2 linked regions of the Oreochromis niloticus genome follow. Each later gene encodes a partner of the first gene's protein in a complex. Links are inferred from orthologs where the notes say so. Each region holds a gene or a part of one and is shown in the gene's direction. Other genes may lie near its edges. The genes, in order: ngfrb and tradd.

Region 1 (9,898 bases):
AGCTGTGAATAGTGTGAGGTCTGGTACGGGAATGCAGAACATGCATGTGGTTGCAGAACCCTTTACCAGCTGCATAAAAAGGCTGTTTTTATGTTTCAGGTTAAATTCAAGTCGTACTTGTGCTGTTGCATCACTTTTAGGAATAGTGTGACACTGTAACTGCCCCTGTTGTCTAATACCTTTGCTTATAGTATGTACAGCAGCTCAAGACTTACTCTTACAGATTGCTTTTAACCAGTAGATATTACTATGTTTTAATTTTATGTTTATTACTTGTGACTGTTGTTGTGAAATATTTTGTGATCCTTATCCAAAAAGGCTCTGAAAGCGTTTTGTTTTGTTTTTTTTTAAAAACTTTGATGTCTGTAGAGAGCAGGTTTACTTTTGCATCTATGAGCACATCATTCAGTTCATATCTGAATGCATAATGGACTGCACTGACAGTCATCAGCCCGAGGCTCAGCTCTGTGCAAACCCGATCAATACAAAGGCCAATTCAACCCCCCAAAAGTCCCCACATCGCCTGCTCTCTTCAGTGCATCAGCAGGGAAGCGAATAATGCTCTTATTAATGGGGATGAGCAAACACGTTTTACACAAATGTAAATGCACAGACATTGTGCCAGACTGAACTGTGGCCATCAGAGCACATGCATGGACAAAATTTTGACATAGAGGTATGTATACCTTTAATGTGTCACTGACAAGGTGGAATTCCTGCTTGCCTACTTGTTTTGGTGCAAAAATTGACAATGAATGAACTTCATTCACTGTGGATGTTGTAGCAATGTGGGTAAACCTCGTGATAAGACATATTTAGTCATAATAGTTTTCAGATGAATGTCTAATGAAGGAAGTAAGCAGGCTGAAAATGTTAAAAAGGAAAAAAAAAAATCATGTATATTTTGGTTATTTCTTTTACACCAGGAGTGTGGTGTGGAGATGTTTATTGACTTTTTTTCTATGAGATGTGGCAGCTAGTGAACAGAGGCTTGACAGGGTGTACAATCAAGAGAGAGAAGAGTACCCAGATCAGATCAATACTGTGCAGATGAGGGAGTCTCGTGGGAACAAGCTGGGTTTGTTGCCATCTGGGTGCTCTAAAAAGATCCACTTTAACACAAGTTTAATCATTTGATCCCCACAGAAGGCACACAATGAAATTAAGAGTATCTGCACAAGCTCAACTCTTGCTTCACATGATGATGGTGTTTTGTTGATTTAGAGAGAAAGGCATGATGTAACAGGGAAGTACTGCGGTGCTATGAATGTCTCCTCACAAAAGACAACTTGATATCACTCCCATATTGGTGTGAGTGCTCTCAGAGTAATTCGAGGGCTTGCTTGGCTCGTTATATGATGCCTCTCCAGCTATTACAGTACATTAGAAGGAAAGCTCGCAACCAGACTGTGGAGCTCATCTCCAGCCTGTTTGTACTTCGGTGCTGCTGCTAATGTAGGAATGACAGGTGCTGTACTCTTCTCAGGTGGTGCTGGTGGAGAAAAACAGTGACTGTGCAGTGAGTTAGTATGTGTTTGGGAGCTGGAGGAGAACACACGGGTGTCCTGGACGGGTGGTCCAGGAGACATTTGCTGTCCCTTCTCAGGTTCCAAAAAAAGCATTCTGTTCCCGGCCCTGCAGAAAAACTTTGCATCGTTGTGTATCTGAATCTAGATCTTTGTCTCTGTCCATGTGACAAACTGAAGGCATTTTCTTTTCTTTTTCTTTTTCTTATTTTCACACAAGCACATTTCATAAACCTCTATTTTTTACACTTCTGGCGAACTTGACCTGAAAATGCTCCAAAAATAACACAGACAGTAGCGGTTTTTGATACGGGCGACACGGGCGGTTGCCCGGGGCGGCATCGTGGTGGGGGCGGCATCACGGGCATCGGCAAAAAAACTAAATAAAAATTGCTCGTACTCATGCTGCCCCGACATCAGCCAGCACATATTGGGAATGGCATAGGCACCGATCGGTTTTCTGCCGCCCATTTGCTGGGAGTAAGGGCGCCCTCCGTTTGCGAGGTGTGCCTGCTGCCTGCGGCAGATTCTCTGGCTGGATGGAGCAGCATTTAATAACCAACCCGCAAAATAAAACAAAATAAAAACAAACCAACAAACACGAAAACACCAGACATTATGATACAGACTTATAATTTGCACCGATGTTTTTTCGAAATTCTATGTGCGAAAAGTGAGCGTGAGAGCCCTCGGTGCGCCTGCTTGCTGCTGAAGTCAAAGTAAACTTTATTGTCATCTCTGCTACCAGACAGCTACAGGCCGGAGGGAGTGTTCGCCCAGGGCGGCAAACAGGCTAGGACCGCCACTGAACACAGACATGCAAATTTTAACTTGACTGGTTGCAGTTCCCTCCAACTCATTATGATGTACATTTCCGCAAAAATGAAAAAGACATGTACTGGGCAAGAAGTATTAAAAAAACATGGATGATTACTCGTTGGATGCAAAACGAGGCCCAAATGTACAAGAACTGGCAGCTGGTGGTCCAAAACCAGAAAAAGAACCAGAACACCCAAAAAATGAGATGAAAAAATTAAAGAAACTAACGTAAAGAAAAGAGGAAGTACGGAGGGAGAGCTGACAAAATGATAAGAGACAGGCTGGACCATAAATACACTGTGAACTAACCGAACACATGCGAAACTAAGCTGAGAACTAAAGAAATCAATGAAAGACTGCAAATAAAACAAACACGGACCCACGATGCAAGTGAACCTTTCAGAACAAAACAGGCGACATAAAGAATAACTAAAAATTTAACAGCGACACATTTAAAATGATCATAAATGAACTCAGCACAGCTTCTATTTTTTTTCTATCTTTTTGCCACGTTGACTATGTCCTTGAAATCATCGAGCATTTTACAACAGCTTTTATAAAATGTCTTTCAATATTTTTGTTCATTTTCTGTTTAATAATTTATGTCAGTCTTAAGTACTCATAAATCCCCTTATTAAATGTGTTACCAATGAGTTAAGCCCCCTTTAAATAGCCAGCAGAAGGATTTAATCTCCTATTAAAGTGGCTGTTTGAGGCATTCTTCATCTGAGTGCTGCTGATATAAGTGGTCTTCATGTTAGCACAAAGAAACCATTTCTGTGTTTGATTTTTTTGGTGGAACAAGTTCTGATTGTCTTCATAAACTACAGAGAGCATGCTGTAAATTTGATCTAGATACTTTGGCCTTCATCATAGATTTTCTTTCTTTCTCTTTGTGTGTTTCACTGTTTCTCTCTCCCCCTCTTCTCCCTCTCTTTGCATTCATGCATTATTTATCTCTCAGAGCAAACCAGCTTCCTCTCTCTCTCCTCACCCCCCCCAAGCCCCTCCTGTCCCCCACTGCCCTCCTGTTCTATATAAATCACAGTCACTTCAAATTGATATGTAAGGTGAAAGCATCACTCCCAATTTTTAAACATATTCAAAAACTAGGAGTTTAAGTTTCTCAGGCATGCTCTCTGGCCACTACATTAGTTATACCTTTCTACTACCGCGTTGGCTTGCCTTTTATGTTTGTCATGGCATAGATTCAACAAGGTGCTGGAAATATTCCTCCGTGATTTTTGTCCATACTAACATGTCAGCATCACACAGTTGCTGCAGATTTGTCAGCTGTGACTCTTATTCCGGTACATCCCAGAGGTGCTCTATTAGAATGAGATCTGGTGACCTGCTGGAAGCAGCCATCAGATGATCCGTACACTGTGGTCATAAAGTGATGGACATGATCAGCAACAATATTTAGGTCGGCTGTGGTGTTCAAACAACGCTCAGCTGTTGCTAAAGTGGTCCAAAGAGTGCCAAGAAAAAATCCCCTGGATATATTTTCTTTTTCAGACCACCCTCTGTAAACCTTAGAGATCGTTTTGTGGGAAAATCCCAGTAAATCAACAGTTTGTGAAATATTCAGACCAGTCTGATTGGCACCAACAACCAAAGTCAGTTAAATCACCTTACTTCCTCATTCTGGTGCTCAGCTTTAACTTCAGCAGGTCGTGTCTGACCATGTCTTTTTGCTTAGATGCTTTGGGCTGCTGCCATGTAATTTTTCTGATTAGACGTTTATATTTTCATAACAACTTTTAACATGGATATTAAAGTCAGTACAAGAACAGATCTGCATGCATTCCATCATCATTACATAATAATTTCCAACTGTGAAGTCAAAGAGTTCAAGTACAATATTGATGAATATGACCTTTACCGTGATCAATACCTACACTGGGAGATGAGTGAGACCGGTATTGCAATTTTTATTATTTATTAATGAGCTGTTTCACATCACAAATTTTAAAAGAAAGAGTTTAAAGAGTTAAATGAATAATCTCAATTATGCTCCCTAATGAGCTTTATTACAATTCTGGGAACCATACTGGATGAGTCACAAGTATAGTTCAATGCCCTTTAACTTGTCAAGTGTTGAGTCAAGTGAACCCAATTAAAAAAGAGAGTTACAATATAATTTATTTTGCTTCGGGGATTTGAAGTAAGTGAGGATATTGCACAAACATCTACTTACAGAACTTATAAACATCTCTGCCATTACTGAAGCCTGTTCTGCTGCTACGGCGCTTTAAACATGTATTGTCACGATTTGAATCCATCTTTTTTTTTTTTTTGCCTCAGGAGTCTCCAACAGTACATCACCTCTTCTTATGCATAAAGGCAGCAGTGTTTCTCAGAAGAGCAATCCTCTCATTCCACTTCTCTCCAGATGATAAATAATTTAACATGAGTTTTAAATAAGTCACATAAAAAAAAGAAGTGATTTTCATGTGATGTGATAGAGTCAGACTCACTGTGCATCATGGGCTGCATTCAGCCCACTTTGATCTGGGCTGGACCAGTAATGTGCCATTGTGACTCTTTTGGCATAAATTGTAAGAAATCAATCGTTACATTGCAGAAAAGGTTCTGGTAGCTTATTGCCCAGACTGTCCTGTAATTAGAAAACAAAAAGTTCTTGTTAGTTTACAGACAATGCCTCATTTTAAAAAAAATACACCGTGCACTGACGGTAAACAAAAAACAAAAAAAACCCAGAAATTTCTACAGTAGCGAAAAAACAGGAAAGTTTCTGTTTTTTAATTGTTAATCTATCTACTCTGTTGTAATATGAATGAATGCCCAGGTCGTTATCAGCAGCTGTAGAAAATGGAAAATAGAGTTAAAAAGTCCAAAAACTTATGCCCTCCTCTTGATCCAAGGCTGTGCATTGGGCCGGATTGGAGTTTTTGCTGGGCTGATTTTGGCCCCCCAGCTTTATATTTGACACCTCTGGGACAGACGACTCTCATTAAAGTTAACTTTTTATTTGTTTGTTTGTTGGTTGGTTGTTTGGGTTGTGCATCATTAGCGTGGATGTTGCTGCAGACATCAGAGGGTGTACATCCGTGTGACTGAGAGGACTTCTGTTTTCAGTCTGATGGATGTCTTCCTTTCAGAAGTTTTTCAAAGGAGACTCATTTAGACGGGAGGCAGTCTGGTTTTTAAACACTTGGTTGGTTCGACTCAACAGCAACTACCACGTAATTTAACCATTTAAAAAAGAGAAGGAGAGCGCTAGTTCGTGTGTGTATGTGTGTGTGCGCACATTGTGGGCGTGGAGAGGGAGACGGGCCCTTCCCTGAAGCCGCTGAGCGCTTCTGCCAGATGAAACGCTGTAGGAGGAAAGAAGCGCACGCAGGCGTGAATCCGATGGGTCAGTCTCAGCGAGTGGATCGCATCTGCAGCTAGGGCTCACGGACTTAGTGAGTTCCCGCTGCGGGTTTCACACCTGACACAGCTCACTTACTCGGACATTTTCTTATTTATATTCCTCCTACTCTAACAGCAGAATCCAAAAGATTTGCAAAGACACAATAATGACAACCGAGTTCACTGCAGACTAAAGACTGCATCACTCTGCCCTGCATCCGACGGCTGACCTTCCTCGAAAGATGCAAACAAGACACAGAATGTATTGCGTGTTCGTAGCAGTGTTGCTTGGAGCGGTGAGTACTCTCTGACATAATCATCGTGGGTGTTAAATGTTTGCCGTCAACTTCACCTGGTTACATTTTTCCCTGTCACATCGTGCGCAAAAAGCATGCCCAGTTGCGCATCAACATAGTCCCATTAGAAGGTGGTTAAAAGCTGGTGCGAGTGTGTGGGGGAGGTTTTCTTTCTTTCACGTGTTTTCTTTTCTTTTTATTAATATTTTTGCTTCCCATCCAGCCTGTCACGCCCTTCACTTTTTGAGAGAAAACTTTTCGGAAAATCTTTACTTTTCTCTCTGGGATTTAAAGTCCCGGTCATGTTAGATGATACTGGTATTTGTGGTGCTTAAAACAGCACACGTTCGTGTCTCTGCACCTGTCCCACCCGCAGCCCTGGCTTGACATTGTGAAGCAAGAATGGATGTATGCAGGAGCCATTCAGGTTGATACTCTATAGCCTCAGTTGTGGATCTGTAGTTCCACCCTTCTCAGTTACATGTGGCTCCACAGACAGCAGGACAATAACAATGTCACAGTGGGCTCTGTGGAGGAGATCACCAGTAAAGCCCGGGTTTGGTTTAACTTTGGTGAATTCCTTGATTTACTGAGTTTGTGAGGCAAACTTGTGATAATGGGCATACAGGAAGTTAAACATTAAGCATGATCTTTAGGGCGATTACTGGGCGATGCACAGATTCTCACCACTGCGAAGGCCTGGAAGATGAAGCTACACAGAGGCAAAAGCAAACAGATGCAGGAGATGGAAGTAAACATAGAGGGAGGGAGACGGGGAAAACACGAATATGTGGGAGAGGGACAGAAAATCCACCACCTTATGAGGATTCATGAAAACTATGCAAAAGTGTACTTTACATGGACACGGTCAGCCTGTGCCGTGAGCTTGTCCAGGTCTTGGTTTTTGGAGCCGGCTGCATCACTGATACGTGACAGCTGCTCCTACTGATGGGTATATATCCTCTGCTGGCTCAGCACATGTAATATTGATAGAGTCTGAACCACCCTCCTACCCACTCCCAGCCCCCTCACTTTTCCTCTCCTCCTTTCCCCCTTACACACTCACTTGGCTCGCCTCTTGTCTGTTTCTCTCCCTTTGCCTCTCGCTCCATGAAGTGATGATTCAGCTTTGTTTGCGAACGCATGGGGTTGTGGTGTCACCGGCACCCAGTGGGCCAACAGCAGTTTAGGGTCCACGTCTGGATTAAAATTAGGCCCAGTTTATTGGAAGGCTGGTTTAGTGGAACTCTAATGGCTTAACAAGTGCTGACAGCTGAGGTCTAGAGGTTAAGTGCCTCCAACTGAAAATTGACTGTTGCATTAGTAAGATTGGTTGGAGCATTGAAAGTGGTGTGTCCAGATGCTTCTGTGCATTCATTTGTGTGTGTGCTCGTGTGTGCACGTGCGTGTGTGTTCTTCTTACTTCTTGATTTTGCTTCAGGGAAATTGGCTGACAAAAGTTGAAGAGTGCAGCCCACAAATTTCCATCCAAAAAGCAGGAAACGTGCAAGTCGAGCTGCAACTTGCTCAGTGCCCTGCATCCTTTTCCTTTTTTCTATTGCTCAAGCCGTATGCTGAAAATTGCGTTGCCCTGTAATTCTTCTGTTTGCACAGCCCAGCAGACATTACTGATGCACTTTAATCTCGGTTATTTGTCTTTGAGACATCTTGGTGCCGCACACCCTCACCTGGAGCTAGGGTAAAAAAACCCAACAACAACAAAAAAAGACGCAGTTGTCAAAATGCTGGAACTTGGAGTCATTTCAAAGGTGTCAGTTTGACTTTTGGAACAGGTTTGTTCACATGTAAGGTTTGTTAATGTGTTTGCACGAATGTGAATGTTTGGTCGGGAGTGTGTGGAGCGCAGCTCAGGGGAAGTAGCTACTGTAGAGTGATGAACGCGTGCAGATGGGAAAGGTGAGCGTGAGGTAGAGCGTGAGCTGCGAGCTGTGAGGAAAAGAGAGCGAGGGCTTTGAAGTTGTGAGGAAGCTACAAAGTAAAACATTTTGGAGGCTTAAACTCATCGCATGGAGAAAGTGTTGCAGGTCACGCAGAGAAAACTTGGTGCTACAACAGTCACGGGAGAATTAGGAGCTTCACTCGATGAACATAAACTGTCTTTGTTTCCCAGAGTTTGTGCACTTTCATGAAAATAATAGAGGAATCAAACTAACCAGGCATTTTTTTAATGGAACATTTCAAATAAAAAGTTCCTGCACGAGGCTGAAAACATTCTTGAAGATTTAGAGGATGTAAAATTAAATACCAAAGACTTGAAGGTCAATGAACCATGACACCGTTGAGAGCAACAGAGAGTGTGTGTTTGTGTAGGTCCAAAGGAAAGCGTACATGCTCACACCCATCCACACACTCATGGACATTATCTGCCAGCTGACTCAGTGGAGGTGCTCGAGGGGACATTTGATGTTTCGTGGAGCTCCTTTCTCTCGTCAGTAACATTCCACACACACCTGAACCCTGACGCCTGTCAGGCGATTGTACCTCCTTCGCAAAAATACCTCCGTCAACATACTCACATCCATCCTCTCTAAGTATATTTGCTGTATCTGACTTACATTTAGTAGTAAAAACAAAAAAACTCCTTAAAAATTGTTTTAATGTGGTCTAACAAGGCTGAGACACAATTTTCTTTACACCCTTCATCTATGACTAATGGGATAACTCATAAGCAATACACTGGCTTACAGCAGACAGTCCTGATTTCATACATATCAGCTTAAAAATCATCATGTATATGGGGAGAAGAAAAACATAAAGCTTTGTTATTATGTAACTCTGTCATGTTTGCTTTAGAGATTAAGGTGAGCAGAAGAAAGCAAAGATTTAGCTATTAGATATAATGTCAAAGGCCATGCACACTCATAGGTCTTAAGAGTTGTAGTAAGATGTAGAGACACGTCCTGGCTCAAGCCTGAGTGTCATGCATTTATTTATGCCCGAGCAGAGGCACACACAGATGTCTTTACCTGTCAGCAGCTTTGATAACGCACTCAACAGGTTGTTATTTGAAGAATGTAGAAAGGACCAGCTTTATCTTTGTGAGGATGTGTTATTTTGTGTACTGGCACTTTATAAATGCCTTCGCATCTTAAACTTGCATGTGACCGTTTTAAAAAAACAAAGCAGGACCTCTTTGTGACCTCGAGTTACAGATCCCGTGTGTCAAAAAATGTAAGCAGTTTAACCAGAGAATTATTTGTTTCTACAATTTATTTTTATTTGAAGCCAGACAAGGAAAAGAAAACGTAGTATTGCACGAAAGCAGAGAAAACAGAAAAAGGGACTGTGGAAAGTGGACCGTTTTGTGAGGCTTTGCCATTAATCATCTCACAACTGTTCTGATTTTTCTTCCCGCTTTCCTTCGGGGTCCTCATTGGCCCCATGACCAAACTAGTTTTAGCCCTTCCAAAATAAACCTAAGCAGATGCCAGACAGTAAGAAAGATTTCCGTTTTCTAGAGTGCTGTTTATTTTTTCTTTCTTTCTAATGCTCTTTCTTGTGAAATATTGGGGCTTCATTCCAGCATGATGGCCTTTTCAGCCAGCGGTGTGAGACTGTGCGCTTGTTGCACAATATGAAACATTACTTTGCTTGACGCAAAACATTAAACTTTATCTGTAAAATTATTGTTGTGTGTGTTTTACTGACAATCTTCAATTTGCTGCTGAATGTTAATGGAGTTGCTGTCATTCTGCAGGTTGGGACCCTGGCCAATAAGGGAGCATGTCCATCAAACCAGTATACACACAGTGGCGAATGCTGCAAGCAGTGTCAGCCCGGCGAGGGTGTCGTCCAACCCTGTGGGGCCCAACAGACTGTCTGTGAGCCGTGCCTCGATAGTGAGTATCACACAAACAG
Region 2 (9,839 bases), on another chromosome or scaffold:
TTTACACAACAGAAGTGTGTATTTCATTTTTGTCGTCAGGTTATTTGCAGCCACAGAGCATAGTGAAGTCACTCGTACCCTCCTGGAACACACTCGTGCTCTTTGAAGTTTCTCCAGTCTCCTTTCACCAAGTAGGGATAAATATTCTTGTTTTTATTATGTCTTTGAAAAGGCTGCGTTTGAAAATTAAACTGTTTGTTGTTGTTTTGTTTTTTTCTTCAGGTGTCTGAAGTTTTATCGCAGGACAAGTGTCGGCTGTCTCTGAGCGGCTGGTTTCACGGACCTTCTCTGGAACGTCCTCCTCGCCACGCGGTGGCTCCCATCCAGAGGAATCCACACTTACCGAGAGATGTGGGTGCTATCTTGTGGGAATAGCTCAAAAAATTTTGGAAGAAGAATTTTATACGTTTTGTTCGATAAATATAACATATAATTTGCATGATTCTCAATCAATTTAGAGCTGGAGGCACCTGTTAGCTTAGCTTAGCATAAAGACTAAGAGCAACCCTTCTGGTGCCAACAATCATGCCACGTTCAAAGTTACTTGAATCACCAATTTTCGACCATTCGGATGCTTAGTTTGAAATTTAGTAGGTTGTCTTTGCCATGTTCACATGCCTCCATTGACTTGCTGGTGTTGTAGTATTGTAGTGTTATGAGAGCTCTGTATGCAAATCTAGCTATACCCAGGCTCCAGCGTGAGCTTTTTTTAATCAGTTGTGAGCATCAGTTGATTTCTCATCTGTTTGCTGTTTGTGTTTGTGGCAGGAAACGGTGCTGCTGGAGTGGATCAATCCCATCTATTTGGACATTTCTTATCAAGAGCAGATTCAGGAGGAGTTTGAAGACAGCTCTGAAATTCAGCTCAAAGGATTTCTCAAGGTAACTTATAAAAACTCTTTTCCACCGACGCAGCGCTGCAGCTTTTTTTCAGAACGGTTTCCGGACATTGCACCATAGAAATGTAGTTCCCAAAGCTGGAAATGCTTACTCACAGATGATTTGCAGATGAAGCACGCATGATTTTTTTTTCCACACTGAAAGTACCTCGGCTTTAGCTGCACAACACTGAGTAATGAGACAATTTCCAAGTATCCATTGTGCTCTGCTTTTCAAAAAGGCATCAGAGCAGAGCTGGCACTGGTGTCGTGTCTTTCCTGTGTTCATTTGTTTCCGCTGAGTGATTATGCGTTTGTCTTCAGGAGGAGAAGTTCAAAGAGGTGAGTGAAGCACTTCGGCTCTCTCAGATTGAGTGGAAGAAGAGAGGTCCACCCAATAAGAGGTGAGTATGTTTGACTCTTTAAAGTAGCACTCTGTATTTAATTTTTTTTTGTATTTGTTAATAACCTGTGTGCTTTCAGGTGCTATGAAGCAGCTGCTCTGGACTCGCTGCCTCAGTGTGTGAGTGCATGCTGGGAGCTGCTTCATTCAGAAGCATTCTTCCTGCTCCTCTCCAACTTCACTGGCCTTCGATTGCACTATCTCTGCCCGGCTGACGACGAAGAGGATGACGATGAAGAGAAGGTTAAAAAGCAGCAAGATGATGGAGAAGCCACGGGGTCGTCAAATGAACCGTCCTCAGCAGATGCGAGCAGAGAGAAAGGTGTGCGTCGCTGTGAGTGCTTTCATTCAGCCGCAGCCGCTGCCGCTGCCGCTGCTGTTCGTGTGTTTTGACCTCTGTGTATTTTCAGAGCCGAGCACCCCTTTGTGCTGTGGGGAAGTACGCCGATGGTCTCGCGGTGGCTACACCCTGTTGCACGATGGAGAGGCCGCGCGGGCAGAATACGCGCTGGACCTCGTTTTGCCTTTCGGCTGCACAGGTGAGTTCACACCCAGCGGAAGAACGAACTGTCGGACACCAGTGTGACTGTACTGAACTTTTAATTCTCTCTCGTAGGCTGGCAGTCAGAGTTTGGCGGCTTCACGTGTTATGTGGCTAATGAAGAGGATGAGGAGGTGAGTGCTGATTAATTTGACGTGTAATCGCACATGTGCGGATGTTGCTTCAACAGTCATCATCACTGCTTTCTTCACAGCTTCTGACCGTCTACCCGGAGGACAATTCACTCGCACTCGTCTACAGAGACAAAGAGACCCTCAAGTTCGTCAAACACGTCAACCACAAAAGCACCTCCGAGCCTGATGGCAGCTCCACCTGCAGAGAGTTTTATGACTTTTCTTTTGTCTACTATGAATAAATATGTATATAATTACTTAAGTGTGTGCGTGTGGGGGGGTGCATTTACACTGGGAGATGAACTCCACTCACTCCACTCATTATTGCAATAGGACAGTGGGGAGAAGACAGAAAAGCTGGGAAAAAGACACGCACAAAACAACCTTGGTGTAGATTTTAACGCAGGCCTCTGTAATAGTCTTATGGTATAGGGGCCACCTTAAAAAGTTGCCTATATTATTCGCTAAAGTTGCAGAAATCTGGAAAAAAAAATGAAAATGGCTCTCCTTGCTATATTCAAAACCACTCACCAGCATAGCGTGTGCACCTGCGCTGCATTCAGGCCTAACAAAACTTGACAAAATCTTTTTTTTTTTTTTTAACAGAAAAGCCATATTTATGATGGCGCTACTGTGTCTGAAAAGTAATCCCAACTTCTGTCTTAAACCTGCATTCTTTCTAATGGTCAGCAGGGGGCGACTCCTCTGCTTCCAAGAAGACTTCAGGTTGTATTCACTTTTATGAGAAAAAGGCCCTCGGCCCCCCCTCACTCTGTGACCTCAGTAAACACTTTTATGGGTTCAGTTGCTATTTTCAGGTCATACAGTATGAAACATGAAGTTCATCTTGTGAATGGTCATTATTATAGTTATAAAGGAGCATAATCCAGGGTATGCTTGCCAGCTAGCAACCTGCTTAATCACAAGTTGTTTGTGATTGTGCAGTAACCCTCATTTTGACAGTTAATTCCACCATGTGCTCGTTTCAAAAATGGTTCAAAAATAGCAAGACGGCGACTGCGAAAATGCTCATCTTGAGGCTTCAGGGCAGGAATTCACAAAACCAACAGATGGCATCAGAGTGCCTTTATCAATCTTTTATACTGTTTATGTATCCATGCTGTTATATCTGTCAAGCACGCGGGAGCTGATTCATCTTATCCTTCCTTTTAAGCAGTGGACATCCAACATTTAGGCGTGTTACCTTCACCTTTACTGGCTAGAGTAAATGTACAAGAATCCAAATTGTAAATTTCCTGACAGAGAATCTGTGGGGGCTGTTCACTTTTGTGTGTTACCTTTTTAATATGGTAGGGTTTAAATAGATTTCTGACACATGCAAAAAAAATGCGATAAAACATTTATGAAAGCTCGTTGCCCAGCGTTGTACATTGCTTGGGTAAAACATTTTAAAACATTACAAAAAATAAACTTTTCACAATGTTTCTAGATTAACTGTGTTGATTATCTGGTCTTATCTGATCTTATTATCTGTGGTCTGCCTGTGCCTGGAAGAGGAGTACCACTCTGGTTCCTTAGAACTTGCTAAAAGAGTTATTTTAGATTTATTTTATTTTTTACTCTAATGATGCCAAACAGAAGAACAAGTTGCAGTTCTGTGTAAAAGCCACCATTTATTTACAACACAGGAAATCATTCCTGTACAACTCCTCCATTTAATACACAGTACACACTGCAATAGTTACACCCTTTTGCACATTCTCTACAGTAAAATAACAAATGACAAAGTTTCACAGGTTAGAGTTAAATGTCAATCATATATATATTTCACCTCTGTAATATTCTTGATATTTATAATTGAGTGATTTGTATATATTCGTGCTATTTCTTAAATTTGTAAACTTTGTAATATATTGTATTATTTAATTAGTTTAGTCTGTTACTGTTATTGTCTTGGAGCAACTGTAACCCGCATCATTTCCTTAGGGTTTAATAAAGTATTCTGATTCTGATGATCATTTCTTTAACTAGCCTTCAGGAATAGTTCTCCAGGATTCTTGGAGGACTTTCAAAGCCATTTTGTTTGATTCTCTGTCAACATGATCCCACACTGCTTCAATAAGATTGAGGTCTGGGCTCTGGGAAAGCCAGTCCATTGCTGATAATGCTTTTTATCTAAGTATGCTCTTATTGCATCAGCAGTATGTTTGGGATCATTGTCAAGATGCTGCCAATCAGATGCTTTCGAGATGATTTTGCATGGTGGATCAAAATGTGCTGGAACTTTTCTGCATTCATATTTCCACCAATTTTAACAAGATCTCCTGCACCACTGGCTAAAATACAGTCCCAACCACGACAGAGCCTCTGCCAACCATTGTTCTAACTCATTTCTGATCTTCTCCATACATATTGACGACCATTTGAATAAAAACAATTGAAATTTGGATTGATCTCCTCAAGACCTGTTGTTGCTGATTTTAAGTATTTATCCTCCACTTGCTCAGTTTCCCCAGATTTTATTTTAAGCTCAGTGTTAAGTGTCGTAACAAAACAAAAAACAGACAAAAAAGACCTTCAAAAAGCCCAGAGAACTGTTCCTCAAGACCACTAAAAAATACAAGAAAGTATGACTCCTTGAGGTCTTGAAGGCCTTCTACCCCTTTGCTTGCCACAATGTTTGCTGCAAGGCTCAGTTTGGGGGCCTTGATTGTTTTTGTTATACCTGCTCTCTCTTCAGCACATTTTGAATGCTTTTAAGGACATTCCTTATCACTGTTATGCAGATGACATTCTGTTATATACCTCTTAAGCCCCAATGTGTTTCTAAGTTACAGAGATTGCATAGGTGCGTAGACTCTTTCAGAATTTTGATGACTGACAAGTTTCTCCAACTTATTGAAGAAAAACATAAATCCTTGTTTGTGCCCCTGGCAGATTTGTGTCTAAGATATTGGAAACTATGCCACATTTATTAAATCTTTTATTAGGAACCGTGGGGTAACTTTTGATGCAGCTTTCACTTTAGATGTCCACATTAAATCTCTGGTTCGCTCTTCAATAGTGTCATGCTCTAAGTTGGAAATTAATATTCATGCATTTATATCATTGCATCTGAATGATAGGAATTCCTTGTTCTGTTGGCTTAACAAAGCTTCTGTGTTCGCCACTGCAAAAGTGTTTTAAGTACCGACACGTCACACTGTTACTAATTTAGTTACATGTTGAGTGTTTCATGGACAAACATTAGTGTAGATCAGTAAACTTTTACATCCATACATCTTCAGCAGGTTCTAGACATCATGTGATCAGGGTGAGGACTAAAGGAGACAGAGTTTTTGCCACAGTGGTGCTCTGAGATCCTCCAGACTCTGTGGTTTTCATTAAAAAGTAGTTTAAAAACTCACTTTTTTAGACTTGCTGTAACTTGGTAACCTTTATTTTTGGTTGTCTTTATGTTTTGATCGTTTTGTTGTTATATTTATCTTAAAACAACATTTTTCTTACTATACAAAATATAATGAGCTGTTGGCTCAAGACTTTTGCACAGGACTATATACATTCAGATTTAGTTGTGTTAGGCTAAAAGTCCCCCCAAAACAAATATATTTAAACCAAATAAAACTTAAAAGCTGAAGCCAGCAGATATATTTGTTCATAAATGACATAAAAGTTACATTTGATTAATGTTTTTGATTAGATTTCTTAGATCAGTTTCACCTGTGTCTAAATTTCCGGGAAACCTTTGCACCCCTGCACCGTTTTTGTCTGTCAGTGGGACTATGCAAATATGCCTAGTGCATTGTTTTGGTTTTCCCCAGCAGCTGTTTAAATCTGTTAACACACAAAAACCCAGCGACCACAGTGAGAAATTAGACTCGTCAAAGAGCCAGTAAAGTGTTTCAGTTCTTTAATGTTTGAGCGTTTTGGTTCAGGTTCAAATTTATGATTAAATGCTAGATACAACTGTTCGTAACGGGATTCGTTGAACTACATGTAAACTGAACGTTTACGTTAAAAAGAAAAAAAACCACACACACACAAAAAAACACTTCCTTCCCGTCACGATTTTCCTCGTTGATTTCCACCAATCAGAACGCAGCTTGGTTGCTGCTCACCCAATGGGAAGCCAGGAAGCTCATACTGTCTGTGTGATTCCACAGAAGGAAGCGTTACCAAACACTTTAACAAAGTTTTAAGGTAAGTTTGAGCCGAGCTTATCAAAGTGTTACTTCACGGTGAATCAAAGGACCTCCTAGGCAGAAACTAGGCGTGCGGGCTTCCCGAGGCTTTGGGCCGCTTCAGCGGCGTGGCTGCTCGCAGCTTTACGGTAGCTCTATCTATTCTGCGTGACATTTCTCACAGTAACCTCCATCCCTTTCAGTATAAGGCACTGACATTTTAAAACGGAATAGCTATCTTTGCGGTGTTCTGACTCAAACCAATGCAGCTGTCAAACTGTTATGAAGGTAATCAGCTAGCTCACCTGTACGTACGGGTCGCATAGCAACCACGTCCCCTAGTTTAAAGTTGGACAACAGTTATAGCTTTGACATTAAAGTTACATAGTCTATAATTTGAGTAAACTCTGGGTGTGTTTTTCTGTTGTTTCTGTAAGGCTTCATTTATGATGAGTTTATAAGCTGTAATCGAAGGTTTTGTTGTTACTTTAAGCTAGGAAACAAATGTCATAAAATATCCTCAGATAGCAACATTTGTTATTGTTTTGCTCATAGTTCAGTGGATCTCTAACTTTTTCTGGCTTGCCTGACTTTAGAAGTTAAAGCTGTAAACGTGATGTACGTATTTATTATACACTTAACGGCGACTTTATTGGATACACTTGTTCTTAACGCAAATATCTAATCAGCCAATCACATGGCCTTGTTGATGATAGAGGCGAATGGGAAGACTGCTTTGAGCTCATAGGAAATTAACAGCAACTGAAATAACCACTAGTTACAACAAAGGTATGCAGGAGAGCATCTATGAAAACATAGCACATCCAACTTGGAAGCAAATAGGCTGCAGCTGCACAAGACCATACCAGCAGCAGAATACCACAGCGAGTGCCACCCTAGCTACGATCAGGAGACCGAGGCTACAGTTCACAGTTCTACTCCAACATTCAGATGGTAGGGGCAGAATTTGACATAAAAGCATGGATCCATGGCTCAGGCTGCTGGTGTAGGAACCATTATTTTAAGTCAGCTTCATTCCGCATGTTTACCCTAGTCATCCATACTCGACCTATAGTGGAAGTGCTAGTCATATTCGATGTACAGGGGGATAAATAGCTTATTCACAATTAGCCTCCAGTTGTTAATGTAAGTTTGAGTTAGTTCAGAGGTGCTAAAGGTCGTTTTCAGAGATGAACCCCTCACACAGCGCGTTGGATGTGTCTCCCTAATCAGAATGTTCTAACTTGAAACACAAGAACCATGCTGAAGAGGGTTTTCTGATACCATGCCAGCATAAAATTGAAAAGGATCTAAGGCTAAATTGAAAAATAAATTCACAACTGTTTTGATGACATTGGAAATAATGTGATCTGATCTTCTAAGTCAAAATAAGATAAAAACAAAATCTGAATAAACTGAAAACATTTTCGTGTCCTTTATGAACAGATAGATAACAAACAGTGAAGGTGGAAAATAACAAATGAACTCTTGAAATTAGTAACTGACACAGCCGCCTTCAGCAGCCGCGCCTTTCGTCAGATGCTTTCTGTAGCAGTTTTTAGAGGCATTCGTGATGAAGAGGAGGAATTTCGGATTGTGTGACCGATTTGGTGTGTTATTAGTCATAGTGTGCTTTTTTTCCATATAATATTTTGCTGGGAATCAATTCAGAAACCTCAGATATTCCAGAGGAGTTAAATGTTTTTTCTTGCCCCTTAATTCATTACTTACAGTTTACAAACTGTTTATAAACGTGCCTGAGCAAAAATAGTCTGCAAACAAAGTTTATGGTTAACTGGAATGCTTTTGGAAGGTCTGCCAAATTAAGGTGATCAAAAACACAAGTCATTTCACTAAAAACGTCACTTCTTACAGGTCTGCATGCAAAACGTGCTCCTCTTATTCATACTGACTGTAAAGAGGCGCCTTCCCAACATGTAAGGCCTCAAGTTTTCCAAACTTCTGCTGAGGAAAATTTGCCCTCTCTAACTAGCAGCTCACCGAAGAAACAAGTCAAACTGAACTTGAAACTAAAAACACTGTAACCTCGGAAAAACCCACTTGATTTAATCACAGAAGGCTGAAGCTTCGGATGATGAATGACCACGAAGGCTCTGATTTTGCCACCCACTTCTCACAAGGTGAAACCTCTGACAGAGTCAGATCATTTTTATATCTCTGGATGGTCAGATCACACTGTTACTGTTAAAACTACTTTAAGGAAAGGATCTTTCGGATATGAGGAATCAGTATTCCTAGCTGTAGCTGTTTTCCATCAATATTCAGTTGTGTAAATAGTACATAGTACATCCTCTGGAAACTGGGCTTTTCTTTTTGACGAGCAAACCTCTGATCTTTGATACAGTGACTACAGATAAAGGTTGCATGCTTCACCACATCATTCATTTGTGTGAAAAAGTAATTACGCCCTCAGCCACAGAAGCTTGTGTTGTCCACCTTAGCAAGAATAATGAATTTTTTCCACTGGTGTTTCACATTGGGATGCGAATTTTTGACCCCTCTTCCTTCATGTCCATCAGTTGAAAGATGTTTGAGTAACAAGTGTTACCTTCACAGGAACGATAACCCTCCCTTTCCTGCCTCTGAGGTCTTCCTTTGTGGATTTGTCGGTGTGCTGAGGATTATTATCATGGGAGGTTGATTTGGGGTTTAATATGTTGTCAAAGAACACCACAGCATGTAGAATGGACATGCCAAGGATTGAACCACTGACCTTCAACTTGGTTGTTGACCACCTGAGTCAAAGATGCTCCCCCCAGGTTGACATAACCATGTAGGGATGGTCTTTTCCTGACAATAAAGACATTTTTCTGGCATGACACATGCAACAGAGTTACCTGCAGACCCTGTGATCACATTTTTCAAGTTTCTTTTAGACCCCCCCACCCCCCCCCCACCCCCCCACACAAAAAAAAAAATGAATTACTGGTCATTTTAAATCTCTTGCCAGACTTGACATCAGATGAATGAATGATATATGGCATGGCGTCACCATGTAGTTGGCATGTTTTGTTTTCCAACAGAGAGCTTTACTAAAAACGCAAGAAGTGTTGCTTAATGCTGTGTCATCATAAGGATATGATCAGTTATAGGGATGATTAAACAAATTATTAGCCCTCAGTTAGTGTCAGTTATTCTTATATTTATGTATGGATTGAAGCGAGTAGATGTTAAAAAGCTACATTTATAATTGAAAATGATCATTTGTAAACTTAGTCGGGGGAGTTACGAAATGTTTTCTGCTTATGCTTTTCAAATGTGAGGACTTTCCATTTTTACCCTTTTATGTCATCTGAATGTATCATTTGTATTTTTTTGGACTGGACAAAATGAGCCATTTTTGAATTCGTTTGATTCATGCTTCTGAATCAAATTTTTTTTGTTACCCAAACACCAAACAAGCTCTCCAGGGAATACTAGAGGTTGGCTTTTGGCAGCAAAGGATGAATTATATATTTTAAGCTCCCGATGATCACTTAATCCTCATCCAGCTGCTAAACTAATCTCACAGTATACTTCCATTGTACCAGTTGATAGGATAGCAAATAATTACATACTGCCTAAGTCGTTTCCTGTACACCTAACCGCCAAGCATACTGTGATTCAGTAAAATGCGAGGACGTGCACCTAATCCAGCTCAGAGGGTCCTCTTTGGCTGCAGAGCGCTCCAAGTCAGGATGCATAGAGACGGCACCAGCAGGTTTCAGCGGTTCATCCAGG

Evidence for each region.
Region 2: the proteins of ngfrb (region 1) and tradd are in contact, whole or in part, in an NMR structure (PDB 7CSQ), measured with the Homo sapiens proteins. The link is inferred for Oreochromis niloticus from reciprocal best matches to the Homo sapiens genes NGFR and TRADD. Residues at the interface, in NP_002498.1 of Homo sapiens: Glu345, Glu346, Glu348, Lys349, Leu350, Asn352, Gly353, Ser354, Ala355, Glu379, Ala380, Cys381, Arg384, Glu420; in NP_001310481.1 of Homo sapiens: Thr201, Phe202, Asn211, Ala275, Glu276, Arg278, Arg279, Thr281, Gln283, Arg284, Glu287.

The regions. Positions count from the first base shown.
Region 1 is NC_031973.2:15,873,730-15,883,627, forward strand, and holds the start of ngfrb (nerve growth factor receptor b), read left to right. Parts: upstream 1-5,607; 5' UTR 5,608-5,965; coding exon 5,966-6,019; intron 6,020-9,737; coding exon 9,738-9,879; intron 9,880-9,898. UniProt on the Homo sapiens protein: Low affinity receptor which can bind to NGF, BDNF, NTF3, and NTF4. Forms a heterodimeric receptor with SORCS2 that binds the precursor forms of NGF, BDNF and NTF3 with high affinity, and has much lower affinity for mature NGF and BDNF.
Region 2 is NC_031965.2:22,598,369-22,608,207, forward strand, and holds the start of tradd (tumor necrosis factor receptor type 1-associated DEATH domain protein), read left to right. Parts: upstream 1-5,989; 5' UTR 5,990-6,117; intron 6,118-6,167; exon of another isoform or gene 6,168-6,247; intron 6,248-9,839. Other genes in the region: prolyl 3-hydroxylase OGFOD1, read left to right, coding at 40-131, 223-351, 769-882, 1,203-1,282, 1,362-1,603, 1,692-1,820, 1,898-1,956, 2,037-2,198. UniProt on the Homo sapiens protein: Adapter molecule for TNFRSF1A/TNFR1 that specifically associates with the cytoplasmic domain of activated TNFRSF1A/TNFR1 mediating its interaction with FADD.